Anolis sagrei: one gene and its partner. The protein of the gene in region 1 binds, or shares a complex with, the protein of each later gene. Links are inferred from orthologs where the notes say so. Each region holds a gene or a part of one and is shown in the gene's direction. Other genes may lie near its edges.

What was found.
Region 2: GTF2H3 (region 1) and GTF2B share a complex: the UniProt entries of both Homo sapiens proteins name them as parts of the TFIID-containing RNA polymerase II pre-initiation complex. The link is inferred for Anolis sagrei from reciprocal best matches to the Homo sapiens genes GTF2H3 and GTF2B.

The regions. Positions count from the first base shown.
Region 1 is NC_090034.1:41,525,503-41,533,481, reverse strand, and holds the start of GTF2H3 (general transcription factor IIH subunit 3), read left to right. Parts: upstream 1-4,967; 5' UTR 4,968-5,057; coding exon 5,058-5,067; exon of another isoform or gene 5,068-5,240; intron 5,241-5,246; exon of another isoform or gene 5,247-7,127; intron 7,128-7,307; coding exon 7,308-7,387; intron 7,388-7,979. Other genes in the region: EIF2B1 (translation initiation factor eIF2B subunit alpha), read right to left, coding at 58-122, 462-578, 1,288-1,404, 1,819-1,955, 2,631-2,732, 4,817-4,829. UniProt on the Homo sapiens protein: Component of the general transcription and DNA repair factor IIH (TFIIH) core complex, which is involved in general and transcription-coupled nucleotide excision repair (NER) of damaged DNA and, when complexed to CAK, in RNA transcription by RNA polymerase II.
Region 2 is NC_090024.1:151,970,057-151,976,984, forward strand, and holds the start of GTF2B (transcription initiation factor IIB), read left to right. Parts: upstream 1-3,926; 5' UTR 3,927-3,998; coding exon 3,999-4,015; intron 4,016-6,928. UniProt on the Homo sapiens protein: General transcription factor that plays a role in transcription initiation by RNA polymerase II (Pol II). Involved in the pre-initiation complex (PIC) formation and Pol II recruitment at promoter DNA.

The DNA.
Region 1 (7,979 bases):
TCCCAGCCCATTTAAAAATGGCTTTGCCAAGCGACAATATTGCCCACTCACACTTACCCAACAGCAGCATCTAGGATGACTGTCACAGGTATGCCCAGTTTGGTGAGAGCTTCAGCCATAGTCTGCCTGTGTAATTGTCAACATTTTATCTTAAAACCCATTATATATATTTAAAAAGTACTTCGATCCTACGTAACATTACAAAGGATGTTCAAGAGAGGACAAAATAATAATAATAATAATAATAATAATAATAATAATAATATAGTAATGATAATCTTTTGCAGTAGAGTTCATTCATTCATTATCTTATGTGCTCATAGGAGCTTACTCTCAAGTATCAGTGTGTATACAGGACTGTAGCTTTACTTCACAAAGGGAGAACTCTGTCCAGGTAATGAAAGAGCAGACCCAGCTACTATTATTTGCATACTGAAGAAGCAGAAAGCCTTGACATCTACTTGCCCTGCTCGGTCCGGCTGTGATTCGGTGACGTAAACACTGAAACGTTTCTTGGCTTTTACTGCTGTGTCCAGCACTTTCAGGACCACTTTGGAATAAGCGTGAGTCAATACCCTCTGAGGAAACAGGACACCAATGCTTCAGTTTAGGATTCGTAATATAAATTACACAATTCTTCCTAGAAAGGCTCAGAATGTGCTGTCTGTTCCTCCCTCCCTCAAAGGAGATTGGACTACAACTCCCATTATTGGGAGGACTACTGGTCCTCTCTTCCTGAACTAGTGAAAGAAGAACCATGTGGCATTACAGACAGCCAGGTCTCAACTGTGTAGAAAAAGGGAAGTTTAAAGGGAGACATGATAAATAATATTCAAATATTTGAAGAGCAGAAGATGGGATAGATGCATTCTCTGCAGCTCCAGAAGAGAAGAACGGAATGAATGGTTAGAAATTCAAAAGGACCAGATTTCGGGTGGATATCAGTTAAAATACTATCACAGTATATACCGTTCTACAGTGGAGCAGAGTTGTCTTCAGAACTAGTAGGCTCTCCTTTGCTAGGGATATTTCAACAGAGACTGGATGGCCATCTGTCAGAATGCTATAACTGTAGATCCTACACTGAGCAAGGGATGGACTTGTAAACCTCTAGGGTACCCTCCAATTCCAATATCTCAAAGATTCTATGGCTATGTCAGCTATGGAAGTCAGAGAATATTATATTTGTGGTGAGTACCAACTTTCACATTTGTTTAGGGCAACAGTAAAATGCATAAAACCAAAGTAAGTCTGTTCCTGTGTTTTACAAAATCTAGGCTTACTCACCCCACCATCTTTGACAAAAGTATGGCAAAGTACGGCAATCTTATTCCTTGAGCCAGAGATTCGCCGGAGGAAAAGTTCTCCTCTCTCAATCATGATTGCTTTACATTTGGAATAATCCTAGAGAAAACAGCAAGAGGTGAAGGCAGGAGGTGACATCGGAGGTTCAATTAAAGAAACAAGCTCAAACATGCCTTGAGCATCATGCTTACCGTGTTTAAAGGTTTTAAAAAATTGCTAGGGTTGACACATCCTCTACTATAAAAGCCCTTCTCCATCATAGCCAAGTATGTTGAATCTGGCTCTGATTAGTTTTTTTTTCTGAAATGAGTTGGCACATGCTCACAAATCTCCCCTTTGTTGCTATTCCCATCATGTAATAAACACAAAGGCGGAAACTAGTTTCAAAGCTGGGCGTGTTTTACTGCAACTCCTGTGGGCCTTTTAATATAAAATTGGGTGACACAGACCCAAAAACTACTAATTAGTGACTGCAGTCCTGTACTCACTTGTAAACAATTGAGTGAAACTCACCGGGTTCTCCAAAGAGGTGAGACTGATGAACCGCAAGAAAAGCTCCCCTCCTGAAGAGATCGCTACCGAGGAATCAACACCAGAGAGCACTTCTATGGCTCGCTTGAGATTGGCTCTCAACCCTTGAATTGTCTCACCTGGCAGAGACAGAAGTGGGAGGGAAATGAGCTTGTAGTAACTGCATTGCCATAAACTAGAATTTCAAAGCCCCATCTACACTGACCATCTAATGCAGTTCAAAGGCAGCTTCAAACTGGCAGCCAGATAACAAATTCCCACCAAAGCATGCAAAAGAAAGCCGTCAATGTGCATCAATGTTCTGCAGTGTGTAGAATCACCATACAGGCCTCAAAATCAACACCAGGGTTTCCTATGCAATCATCTGCATAGTGAAACCACTTTCTTTAACACCGGTTTGAAACAGCATTAAATGATAGTGTAGATGGAGCCTTCATCTAAAAGCAGACGCAAAACTGTGGCTTCCAAGAGCTATGCCCAATGTAGTATATGTGCTGGTTATTTCACTGTCTCAATGATACAGATAATTAAATAGCCAGCATGTACTACATTTGAATTACTGCAGGTTAGAGATGCTACGCAGATCTCTAAGAGTAACAAGGAGAGTTTAATGAAAATTTGATTAAATTCCTGCAGTGAGTCATAATGTCTAATCCACTGTTTGACTTTTAAATCTGAAACATTTGTTGCTATATCATAAATTATCACAAATCATAAATTCCAACCTAGTTATCTACTGGACTCCAGCCCTCAAACCCAGAGCTCAGGCCACACAAGTAAAAGCCCCTACATGCCTTTGTCTCTTTTCAAAAACTCCAGCAAGACATGGATAGCAGCCACAGCTGAGGCGACATCAGGATCCTGCCTCATCTGAGTGTTAAAGGCCTCGACCAGCTCTGAAAAGAAGTGGAGGAAGAAAACAAAAAGGAGAAAGTCAATTAAGCTCTGATTTCTTTCCATATAGACTCCATATTCCCTTTAAATATTACGAATTGAAAACAACATAGCTTAATGCTGGGTATTGTCTGTTGTGAGGTTTAGAACATCCACAAACACACAGAGTGATTCTTTTTAACACACTTAGGGTGCATCTGCACTGCTGAATGAATGCAGTTTGACTCCACTTGAACTGCCATGGCTCAGTGCTTTGGAATCCTGAGAGTTATAGTTGGGAGAGGCACCAGCAGAGAAGGCCAAAGGACTTTGTGAAACAACAACTCCCAGAATCCCATAGCATTGAGGCCATGAGAGTTCCAAGTGGGATCAAACTGCATTCATTCGACAGTGTAAACACACCCATAATCAAAAATGATGACTGACAGCATTTCTTCATTCCATAGATAGAGCAAGAGTGGGGCACCTCTGGGTCCAAAGCCTTTAGCCAAACAAAGCATGCCAAACACAGCCAACACTATGGGACTGTCAAAGTTTGAGGACTTCTGGAGGCTACCCCAGTTTTCTGTACTCATAATGAAGCTGGCGCTTTTAAATAAAATCACAATAAAAGCCTGTAAGAAACTAATGTAATCATAGAATTGGAAGAGACCACAAGGGCCATCCAGTCCAACCCCATTCTACCAGGTAGGCAGACACAATCAAACCACTCCCAGCAAATGGCCACCCAGACTCTGCTTAAAAGCCTCCAGAGGAGACTTCATCACACTCTGAGGCAGCACATTCTACTGTTCTTCCTAATGTTCAGGTGGATTTGTATTGTCGAAGGCTTTCATGATCAGAATCACTAGGATGTTGTAGGTTTTTCAGGCTGTATGGCCATGTTCAGGTGGATTCTTTTTTTCCTGCAGTTTGAACTGATCACAGTTGTGATCCCCAGGTTATGCCAGTCAGCTTTCATATGATATTCAGGCAGTGATTGTTGTAGGTCAGAGCACGGTCCAGGGTAATTCCCAGGTATTTGAGTGTGCTGCAATGCTCCAGTGGGATTCCTTCCCAGGTAATCCTCAGAGCTCGGGATGCTTGTCTGTTCTTAAGATGATGTTTTAGATGGATGAGGAATCAGCTGGTTTCCCCAGTAGTAGGCAGTAAGAACACCTAGAACTTCGGAGAACTTCTGTTCAACCATCTCAAAGCTCCCTGCTTGAGTGGTAATGGTTTCAGAAGTGACCAGAAGAAGTCCCAGTCTCCGAAGAAGCAGAAAACAACCCTTGCTTATTCTTCCTCAATGGGACATCCTTTCAAAGACTGAAACATCTCAACCTTCCCTTTTCCAAGCTTAACAGACTCCAGCTTCTTCAGCTTGCTTTCCAAACCACTGGATCCTTTTGGTGGCCCATCTCTGGACACCTTCCATCTTTTTCATCTCCTTCTTGAATTGTTTTGCCCAGAACTGGACACAGGGTGGTTATTCCAGGTGAGGTCTGACCAATGAGAGTGGGACTAGGACTTCCCCACATTTAGACACGATCTTATTGATGCCCCCTACAATGACATCAGCCTTTTTCGCTGTCGCATCACAAAGGTCCACTAAGGCCCTCTTCTACACTGCCATATACAATCCAGATGATCTGCTGTGAACTCGTTTATCTGGCAGTGTAGACTCATAAAATCCAGTTCAAAGCTGATAATATGGATTATTTGATAATATGGATTATATAGTAGTGTAGAAGGGGCCTATGGCCTCTTCCACATTGCTTTTATTCCAGGATCCGATTCAAGATTATCTGCTTATCCCAGATTATCTGGCAGTGTAGATCAAAATCCTGGGATAGAGGGCAGTGTAGATCCAGCCTAAGACTCCTAGGGCCCTTCCACACAGCCCTAAAGCCCAGAATGTCAAGGCAGAAAATCCCACAATATCTGTTTTGAACTGGGTTATCTGAGTCCACACTCAGATAATGTGGGCTTCTCTGCCTTGATATTCTGGGATAGAGGGCTGTGTGGAAGGGCCTCCAGATCCTTTTCCCATGGATTGATTTCAAGTCGGATGCCTGTGCCTTGAACCCTCTTCCCATTCCCTCACCTGCTTCGTTCATAGTGGAAGAGCCAGATCACGCCACTCCTTCCATCTGCTTTTGGGACTCACGAGGCAACCAGGGCGGAACCTTGGTCGCGGGACGCGTTGGCCCCCGGAAGCCTTTCCGCGCGGCACTCCAAGCCGGAATCAAGCGAGGGCGGGACCGGGCGGGGAGCCGCGCGGCGGCCAAAGACGTCACTCCCCTGCGACGGGGGGACCACTGCGCTCCTTCCTGCTGCCGAGAGCAATGAGTGGCGGTGAGTCTGAGGGCAATGCGGCGGTCTCTCCTCCCCTCGGGCTGCTCTACCAACGGAGTGGCTTCGGCCTTCCAATCCGGGCTCCTTTCTTGTTTGCCTGCTTCCCTCGGTTTCAAACAAAGCCGTGGCTCTTCGACGCGACTGCTCCTAAGCACGTGCAGAGTGTTCCTTAGGTACTGGAAACAGATCCGTGCGGTTGTTCTTCGGTTTGGAACTGCGCTGGAGAGGCCGCGTAGACTCCTGCCAAGCAGCTCAATGCAGTGCAACTGCATTTTAGGAGTGAACACTGACTCACGCAGATTCAAACTGCATTCTCGGGCAGTGCAGATGATGTGACAGACTTTGCACTGGGAACCTTACACTTCCTTTTTTCTTCTTTCTTTTCCTTCCTCCCTAGCTTTCCTTCACACATCTTCCCCCTCTTCTTTTTTCCTCCCTCTCCTTCCTTACTTCCTTCCTCCCTCATACCGTTTCCTCTTTACAATTTCCTCCTCCTCCCTTCCTTTTTCTTCCCTTCTTCCCTGCCTTCCCCTCATACGTCCTTTTTCTTCTTCCCCCTCCATTCTCTTTCTTCTTCTCCCTCTCTTCCATCCCCTTCCTTTCTCATCCCTTCTTTCTCTTTCCTTCCTTCTCCTCATACTTCACTTCCCTTCCTCCCCCTCTTCTCTTTCTTCTTCTCCCTCTCTTCCATCCCCTTCCTTTCTCATCCCTTCTTTCTCTTTCCTTCCTTCCCCTCATACTTCACTTCCCTTCTCTTCCTTCCCCCTCCTTTTTCTTTCTTCTCCCTCTCTTCCATCCCCTTTCCTTTCCCTTCCCTTCCTTCCCCTCATACCCCTTTTCTCTTCCTTCCCCCTTCCTTTTTCGTTCTTCTTCTCCCTTTCTTCCTTCTCCCTTTCTCATCACTTCTTTCTCTTCCCTTCCTTCCTCTTCCTTCCTCCTCCTTTCTCTTTCTTCTCCTTGCTCTCGTACGTCTCCCTTCCTTTCTCTACCCTTCTTTCTCTTTCTTCCCTCTCCTTACCTTTCCCCTTTACATTCCCTCCCTCTCTTCCATCCCCCTTCTTTTCTCATCCCTTCTTTCTCTTCCCATCCTTCCCCTCATATCTCCTTTCCTTTCTCTTCCTTCCTTCCCTTCCTCCTTTTTCTTTCTTCTTTTCCCACTCATCCTTCTCCCTTTCTCTTCCCTTCATTCTCCTCATACTTCTTTTCCTTTCTCTTCCTTCCTCCTATCTCTTCTCCCTCAGTTCTCCTTTCCTTTCTCTACCCTTCTTTCTCTTTCTTCCCTCTCCTCATACCTTTTCCCCTTCACGTTCCTTCCCTCTCTTCCATCTCCCTTCCTTTCTCTTCCCTTCCTTCCCTTCATACCTCTTTTCCTTTCTTCCCCACCCTCTCTTCCTTCTCCCTTCCCTTCTCTTCCATTCTTTTTCTTTCTTCCCTCACCTCATACCTCCTTTCCCTTCCTTTCTTCTTTCCCTCCCTTCTCTTTCTTTCCCCCCTTCCTTTTTTCCTCCATTCTCAATACACCATGGACTATCACTCATGGCCGAGTATGATACATATGTCACTTAACAACACTTCACCCTCTTTGTTTCCCAGTGGTATCATAGAAGACCACTTCACCTAGCAGCAGCCCATCCGCTTTGTTCCTTTTCTTTCCCTCTGCTTTGGGCCCAAAAGAGGTGGAGGGGGTTTAGTTCAAACCCCTCAATTATTTAGAGTCTGTGTGCCAGGTTTGGTCCAGATCCATCAAGCCACGAAGGACCCTTTGTGGTGCAAACACACACACACACACAGATGTGTGTCTTTTCTGCTACATTGACTTGGAACGCAGAGGAGTGACAGAAATCCCCTCCCAGCTGTAAAGTTCAGGCTGTATAAAGGCAAACTATTCACAATAATAATTGCAGTTGGGCAGACTTTCTAGAAGAAATGTCTAAATTCTTTCTTTTGAGATGGTGTTTTTCTGGACTTTCGTTTCTGCATTTGGGGAAGACAGATGGGACTCCTAAAGCTGCCACCCTATCCTTATGAGTAAGGTGCGGGAAACAGTTCTCAATGAACAGGTACACAGTCTTGGTTGGTCCTCCTTTTTACTTGTGTTTGCATGAGTGAGAGCCTTCTGCCTCTAGACAGCTAAACCAATGGGACGTGGGGATTGTAACTGGTGATCTGTCTATAGAACAGACAGTAATAGGCTGAAATGACCACACTGTTGGGTGATGCTTTTTATCTTATTTTTCTAGATGATGAGCTGAATCTCTTAGTCATAGTAGTGGACGCTAATCCGATCTGGTGGGGAAAGCAGGCGTTGAGAGGATCAAAGGTAAGGTGGCCTGTTTCGCTTGCGATCTCTTACATATGTTATCAGCCGGACTGGATTCCAGCTCAGATTCTGAACAAATTTACTTAGACTTGTGCTTCATTTTCAAGTAATTAGTAATTATGCAATCTTAAGTGTACTTATTTGGAAATATGTTTCAGTGAAATCAAAGAAACCACCTTTCACTTGAATACCCATTGCCTGAGTTCAGTCTATGGATTCCAGTAGGTTCTTAGTATTCACTGGGGTTTGGTTCCAGGAGCCTGTTTGAAGAAGAAGAACTTTATTTTTCTACCCGGCCTCCATCTCCCCAAAGGGACTCGGGGCGGCTTACATGGAGCCAAGCCCAAGGCAAAATACAATTAAAAGCAAAGCAATAACAAATCAAAACAGCATAAAACAGCAAAACAGCGTAACAATAATAACAAGCATCAAGAGTAACAGCAGACTAATTTTGGAGGTGGGGTGGCAAAGACCACTATGCAAGCTGGATTAAAGGATAAAGTGGTTCAATAAGGTGGATAGCAACATATAATAGCATAGGAAATAACATGGAAGCTGAGCAATTTAACAAGATCCATTCAACTTAACTTAA
Region 2 (6,928 bases), on another chromosome or scaffold:
TAGATGATACTGATTTTGGAGGGAAATGGCTTGGAGATCAGTATGATTCCTTGAGTGTGGGCTTGTCATTTCCCCATGATAACTACATTTTCTCACTGGGTAGCTGGATATGTTACTGTCCCTTCAATTTTTGCATTTTTATTTTACAAAAATGGTCCTCAAGTATCTACTCAGTAATGTCAATTTTATAACATGTAAAGTTGACTTGATTGAACAAATCATTAAATTTGAAACTCCGTCATAATTTTTACACAAAGAGCTGTTTTCATTTGTCTTATACACTGAAGAGAGTCTGGGCTTGTCATTTCCCCATGATCAGTAGATTTTCTCACTGAGTCATGGCAGTTCAAGTGGTGTCGTATTTATTTATTGTGTCAGAAGCGAATTGAGTTATAATGTATAGAAGACCACAAAGTTTAAAACTTGGCATTATACTAAATTTCCTTTGACCAGAAGCTGGCCACTTCGAGTGGGTCTGGTGTCACTGTAAGAAGGTCCTCCATTGTGCATGTGGCAGGGCTCAGACTGCATTGTAATAGGTGGTCTGTGGTTTGCTCTTCTCCACACTCGCATGTCATGGACTCCACTTTGTAGACCAGTTTCTTAAGATTGGCTCTGCATCTCGTGGTGCCAGAGTGCAATCTGTTCAGCATCTTTCAAGTCGCCCAGTCTTCTGTGTGCCCAGGAGGGAGTTTGACAAGTGGTGTCAAATTACATTAAAGAGGTAATCCCACTGAACATGTCAAGTGTTTGAAAGAGTAGATTACCATACAGCTGAGAGATACTCTGTTTTGAAATTAAATGGATGATTTTCTTGCCTCCATCACACACTAGCAAACTATCTGTTTTATTCAGGAGTTCTCAGTTGATTTGCCATCACATTGTATAGAGTGGATCCCGTTCACTGTCCCCTGTTTTCTTGGTGAAAAGGAACACTTCCTCTAATGGGACTATGATTTTTATTCCTGGGTTATAAATGTAATTTCCTAATTGGTTCCACGGTGGCGCAGCAGGTTAAACTGCTAAGCTGCAGAACTTGCTGACTAGAAGATCGGTGGTTCAAATCCGCAGGACAGCATCTACGGACAACGCTGGTTCTTTGGGTTAGAAATTGAGATGAACACCCCCCCCCCCCCCAGAGTCAGACACGACTAGATTTAATGTTAGGGGAAACCTTTACATTTACCTCTATCATAAACACATGGGAAAATATGATTAAACTGCAAAAACTTAGTCTTTGCAAGGACATCCTGCTATAGCACATTTGGCTCTAGTTTCTCAATGATTGAACATCATGTAGAGTCTCCGCCAATTTAACATAGTTTTTGGAGCACAACAAAAGTAAGGACTACACAATTAAACAGGAAATAACACTTGTAACTAGGAACATATTTTCTTTAATATTATTATTCAGATGCAGGATGCCCATCTGTTAGGGGTTGTGCCGTTACGCCCAGACACTTTAAAATAAAACTTTGACGTGCTGCTATCTAGGTCTGGGCGAACTGCTGGGGTCTTTCTTTAGAAGATTGAGCTTTCTTGAATAACTGAGTCCACTTCAAGTTTGAAACATCAAACAGGGTATTTATTCACGAAGTCCTGGTAGACTTGGCTCAGCTTATCAATATTACAAAACAAACAGTCAATTGGGGTTCAATAGTTGAGGCAATCTTTTTCCAAAAAGGGTATAACTTTCTCCAAAAAGGGTATCTCTATAACTATCTAGATAATCCTCTATAACTATCTAAACAGTTCTCTTTTAATCTATCTATCTCTAACTAAATAACTCAATCAAAATTGTTTTCTATCTATGACTCTATCTATCTATCTATCTATCTATCTATCTATCGGTCTCAATTGTTTTTACAATGGTATCTTTGGAGGTACCTGTCTGCCAACAGCACATCATGGATTCTTCTTTAAGACTGAAGGGGCAGGGAGACCTCCAAAATGGATGCTTCTACACTGGAAACAGGGGCGGGCCCAAAGAGCTACTCTTTGGCCAATCATTGCAGAGAGCCTGCAAACTGGCTTTCCTGCCTCTGTCTGCTAACCTTTTAGGCCTAGCAAAGGCTGCAGCAGCCTGGGATAAACACAAGGAGAGGCTGTTTCCAGCAACTAAAAGGTAATGCAAAACTCATGCTCCTGGGAGATGGAACAGGGGTGCTTTGGGCTGGGGTTTAGCACAGCTGGTAAATCACCAGCAATGAGAAGATCTACCAACCAAAAAGTTGCCAGTTCAAATACCTGGGTCAGTGTGAGCTGCTGACTGTCAAGCCTGCTTACTGTTGACCTAAGCAGTTTGAAAACAGCTTACCGCTAAAACAAGCAGGGGAGGTATTTTACGACACCTTAAAGAAAAAAGATCAGAAAATGCTGGGCGACCAAAGGGAAGGAGGAAGTCCTGATGGCTCTTCGTCATAGAGGATGGAGTGACAGCACTCCCATGGCTAGATTTCAAGCACAACCTTCCAAGGCGTGAAAAAAATGGACTTTGATGTTGACACAACATACCTCCTTCTGTTTTGTCAGTCTCTGTATTTTCTATCCAAAACAGCATTGAATGTTTGCCGTGTATGTATACTGTGATCCGCCCTGTGTCCCCTTGGGGAGATCGGGTAGAATATGAATTAAGTGTTGTTGTTGTTGTTGTTGTTATTATTATTGATTGATTGATTGTGCTTTTGCTACATGGCAGAAAGAAGGGGGATGGCTCTTGAGGTCAACCAGAGGAGGAGGAGGGAAGAAGGTGCCTGGGTGAGTAACACATGGCACACACAACACATGGAAGCAAGCAAGCAAGGAAGGAGGAAGTCAAAGGCATGCTGGAAGAGCTAGGTTTTTAGGTCTTTCTTAAAGTCTGCCAGGGTGGGGTCTTGCCTAATCTCACTAGGTAGTGAGTTACAAAGCTGAGGGGCCACAATGGAGAAGGCCCCTCGGCTAGATAACCCTTTGCAATGCTTTTTTATCCCCAAGATATCTCTACCCTACACTTGAAGCTTACCTCATGTGATGAACACAGTAGATTGCCATTTCTTAAGTGGGTGGCTCAGTAGTTAATGAATGTAGAATCATAGAATCATAAAATCATAGAGTTGGAAGAAACCTCATGGGTCATCTAGTCCAACCCCCTGCCAAGAAGCAGGAAAATTGCATTCAAAGCACTCCTCTGACAGATGGCCATCCAGCCTCTGTTTAAAAGCTTCCAAAGAAGGACTCTCCACTACACTCTGGGGCAGAAAGTTCCACCGCTGAACAGCTCTCACAGTCAGGAAGTTCTTCCTTTTGTTCAGATAGAATCTCCTCTCTTGTAGTTTGAAGCCATTGTTCCACGTCCTAGACTCCAGACAGCAGAAAACAAGCTTGCTCCCTCCTCCCTATGACTTCCTCTCACATATTTATACATGGCTATCATGTCTCCTCTCAGCCTTCTCTTCTGAAGGCTAAACATGCTCAGCTTTTTAAGCCACTCCTCATAGGGCTTGTTCTCCAGACCCTTGATCATTTCAATCGCCCCCCCCCCCCCCCCTCTGGACACATTCCAGCTTGTCAATATCTCTCTTCAACTGTGGTCCCCAGACTTGGATACACTATTCCATTTGCCCATGCCTGATCTATAGACCCTTTGGCAAGGGACACTTCCAAAACTGTTGCAAATGTGGACCAATCCAAAGTCTGCTCTAAGCTATCCAAGGAATGCACATCACTAATATTCGTTCAACAGGAAAGACCAGGCTCTGTATCACACTAGAAAATGAATTCACTTTAAGTGGATCACAAACTTGGCAGAGAAACCGGACTTGAAATGACAACCTCGCAATGAGTGGGAAAGGGGAGGAGCTTGGGCTCGCATTCCATTCCTTTGCCTTTGCAAAACAATTGTTCCACGCCACTCGCCGTAGCGGCTGGCCTTCGCCAAGCCCCGCCCACCGGAGCGTAAGGCATAAAAGGGGCGCCGCCCAACGCTACGCAGGCGCCGCGGCAAAAGAGGAAGCAAGATGGCGTCGACGAGCCGGTCAGTGGGAGAAGCTAGAAGGGGTTTGGATGGGTTTTTCTCCCCCGGAAGCGGACCAGGGAGAGCGCGGCTGATCCGGGGGAAGGGGAGGAAGGGAGTCCGCTTGGAAAGACTTCGGCCTGACTCTTGCTTCCAGTGTCACGGTTCAGACTATAGCATTTCGGGTGTTGGGAGGTGTTTGGCCTTCTCTGTCAGGGAGCTCAGGCGCCCCCGTAAATGACAAACCCCAGAATTTTAGAGCATTGCGCCGTGGAAGTTGAAGAGGGGTCAAACTTGCTGTAATTCTGTGGTGTGGCTACACCCCTAGGCCTTTCTCCTTTAAACCCATATTTTGGATGTGTGGCAAGGCTGTTAGACGCCATTCTTGGGGCAACTTACATTAATTGCATACTATATTACTAGCCGTCCCCTGCCACGCATTGCTGTGGCCCAGTCTGTGTATGTCTGCTTTGTGTGTGTGTATGTGTGTATTTATGTGCATACGTTGTAATGTTTTTTTTTATTGTTTGGCTTTTAAAGTATTCATCTGTGTTTTTCAGTGTTTTCATGAGTGATGGTCACTCGTTGGCCAGAGAGGTGTATTGTGTCCAAATTTGGTGCCAATTCGTCCAGTGGTTTTTGAGTTATGTTAATCCCACAGCCATTACATATTTATCTATATAGATTATACTAGCCGTCCCCTGCCACACATTGCTGTGGGCCACATGGGGGTTCTGTGTGAGAGGTTTGGCCCAATCCTATCGTTGGTGGGGTTCAGAATGCTCTGTGATTGTAGGTGAACTATATATCCCGGCAACTACAACTCCCAAATGTCAAGATTCTATTTTCCCCAAACTCCACCAGTGTTCACATTTGGGCATATTGAGTATTTCTGTAGAGTTTGGTCCAGATCCATCATTGTTTGAGTCCAGAGTGCTCTCTGGATGTAGGTGAACTACAACTCCAAAACCAAAGGACACTGCCCACCAAACCCTTCCAGTATTTTCTGTTGGTCATAGGAGAACTGTGTTACAAGTTTGGTCCAATTCCATTGTTGGTGGGGTTCAGAATGCTCTTTGATTGTAGGTGAACTATAAATCCCAGCAACTACAACTCCCAAATGACAAAATCAATTTTTGAGTGAAGGACATACATTGGGTTGTTAGGTGTCTTGTGTCCAAATTTGGTGTCAGTTCGTCCAGTGGTTTTTGAGTTCTGTTAATCCCACAAACTAACATTACATTTTTATTTATATAGATAAAAGGTTATCTGACTCTCACCCCTTTCCTTTTAAAAAATGATTTTACCTTTGTGTGTGGCTTTGTTACACGTCGTGTTTAACAAGACAGTCTTTCGTAATACTGGGGGCTCTTCCATAAAGTTTCTGAGAAGGTGGGGAAGAGCCTGTAGAGGCCTCTCTGTTATGAAGGAAGTACAGTAAAAGGTGACTAATGCTTTCAGCTGATGAGAGATTTCCTGGCCTTCCAACAACAGAGTTTAAGGGAGAGAGAGAGTTCAAAACAAAACAGAAATGATCACAATGATTATTACGTTTACTGTACAGTGGATTCTCTGCTAATTGACACCCATGGAGATTGGTAGATGCTGGATAAATGTAGTTTCTGGTTACTTTAGAGCAAGCATGGGCAAACACCGGTCCTCCAGATGTTTTGGACTTCAACTCCCACAATTGTGGGAGTTGAAGTCCAAAACATCTGGAGAGCACAAGTTTGCCCATGCCTGCTTTAGAGTTATCATTATAAACAAGCCGAACGAATGCTATCCACCATACCATAAACTGATATTAAAATTAAAATACAGTAATTAGAAGGAAATAAAGACAAGTTCAATGTACTTATTTTACTGCAGCATAGAAACAGCTTTGTGAAGGCAGTATGTATTTTAATTTAATTGGCAAACAGTAAATTTTTAACTTCATGAAGGTCAGTAACATATGTTTTAAAACATTTTTGGTGTGGGATTATGGTGCCAAGTTTAAACTTACATTTCTGCTAAAATTGAATTCATTTTAGTTTTATTTATAATCTTTTTATTTCTTTGATTATTTTATTGTCAGTTTCTTGAGAGTCTAACTTTAATTTAAACACTACACAGTACTAATGTTTTAGTATCTGGGTAATGCAAGGATAGCAACTGTGACTGTTTTTTTTAGAAATGGTAACCTGGTTTCTAGGGGCTTTGGTGGTGCAGCTGGTTAAACTGCTAAGCTGCAGAACTTGCTGACCAGAAGGTTGGAGGTTTGAATCCATGGGACAAGGTGAAGTCCCATTGCAAGCCCCAGCTTCTGCCAACCCAGCAGTTCGAAAACATGCAAATGTGAGTATATCAGTAGGTGCCACTTTGGCAGGAAGGTAACAACGATCCATACAGTCATATTGACCACATGACCTTGGAGGCATCTATGGACAACGCCAGTACTTCGCTTTGAAATGAACTTGATTAGACTTGATGTCAAGGGGAAACCTTTCCCCTTAACCTGGTTTGTAGTGATCTTTGCCCAAGTCTGTGACTTCATCTGTCATCTAGCCTTCCCTTCAGTCATTCCATCTCAGAACTCACTTATTTTAGTGATTAAGGTCCCATCTATATTGCCAAATAATGCAATTTCATTATGCAATTTAACCACATTGTATGGCAATGTAGACTCAGTTCAATACAGTTAAACTGCATTATATGACAGTCTAGATGGGGACTAACACTTCAGCAAAGGCAGGAATCAACTTGCAAGTTGCATCTCACATACATTGGAACTGAAGTAGTTCACATAATGCTTTTTGTAGGACTAGCAGTGCTGCTAGACTTAGTTTCTAACATCTGTCTTGGATCCTGCTTAAAAACCTTTGTCACTATCCTGGCCTTTTTAAAAACTCTTTTGTTAATGCAGTCCAGGTTGATTTTTATAAAAAAATCAAG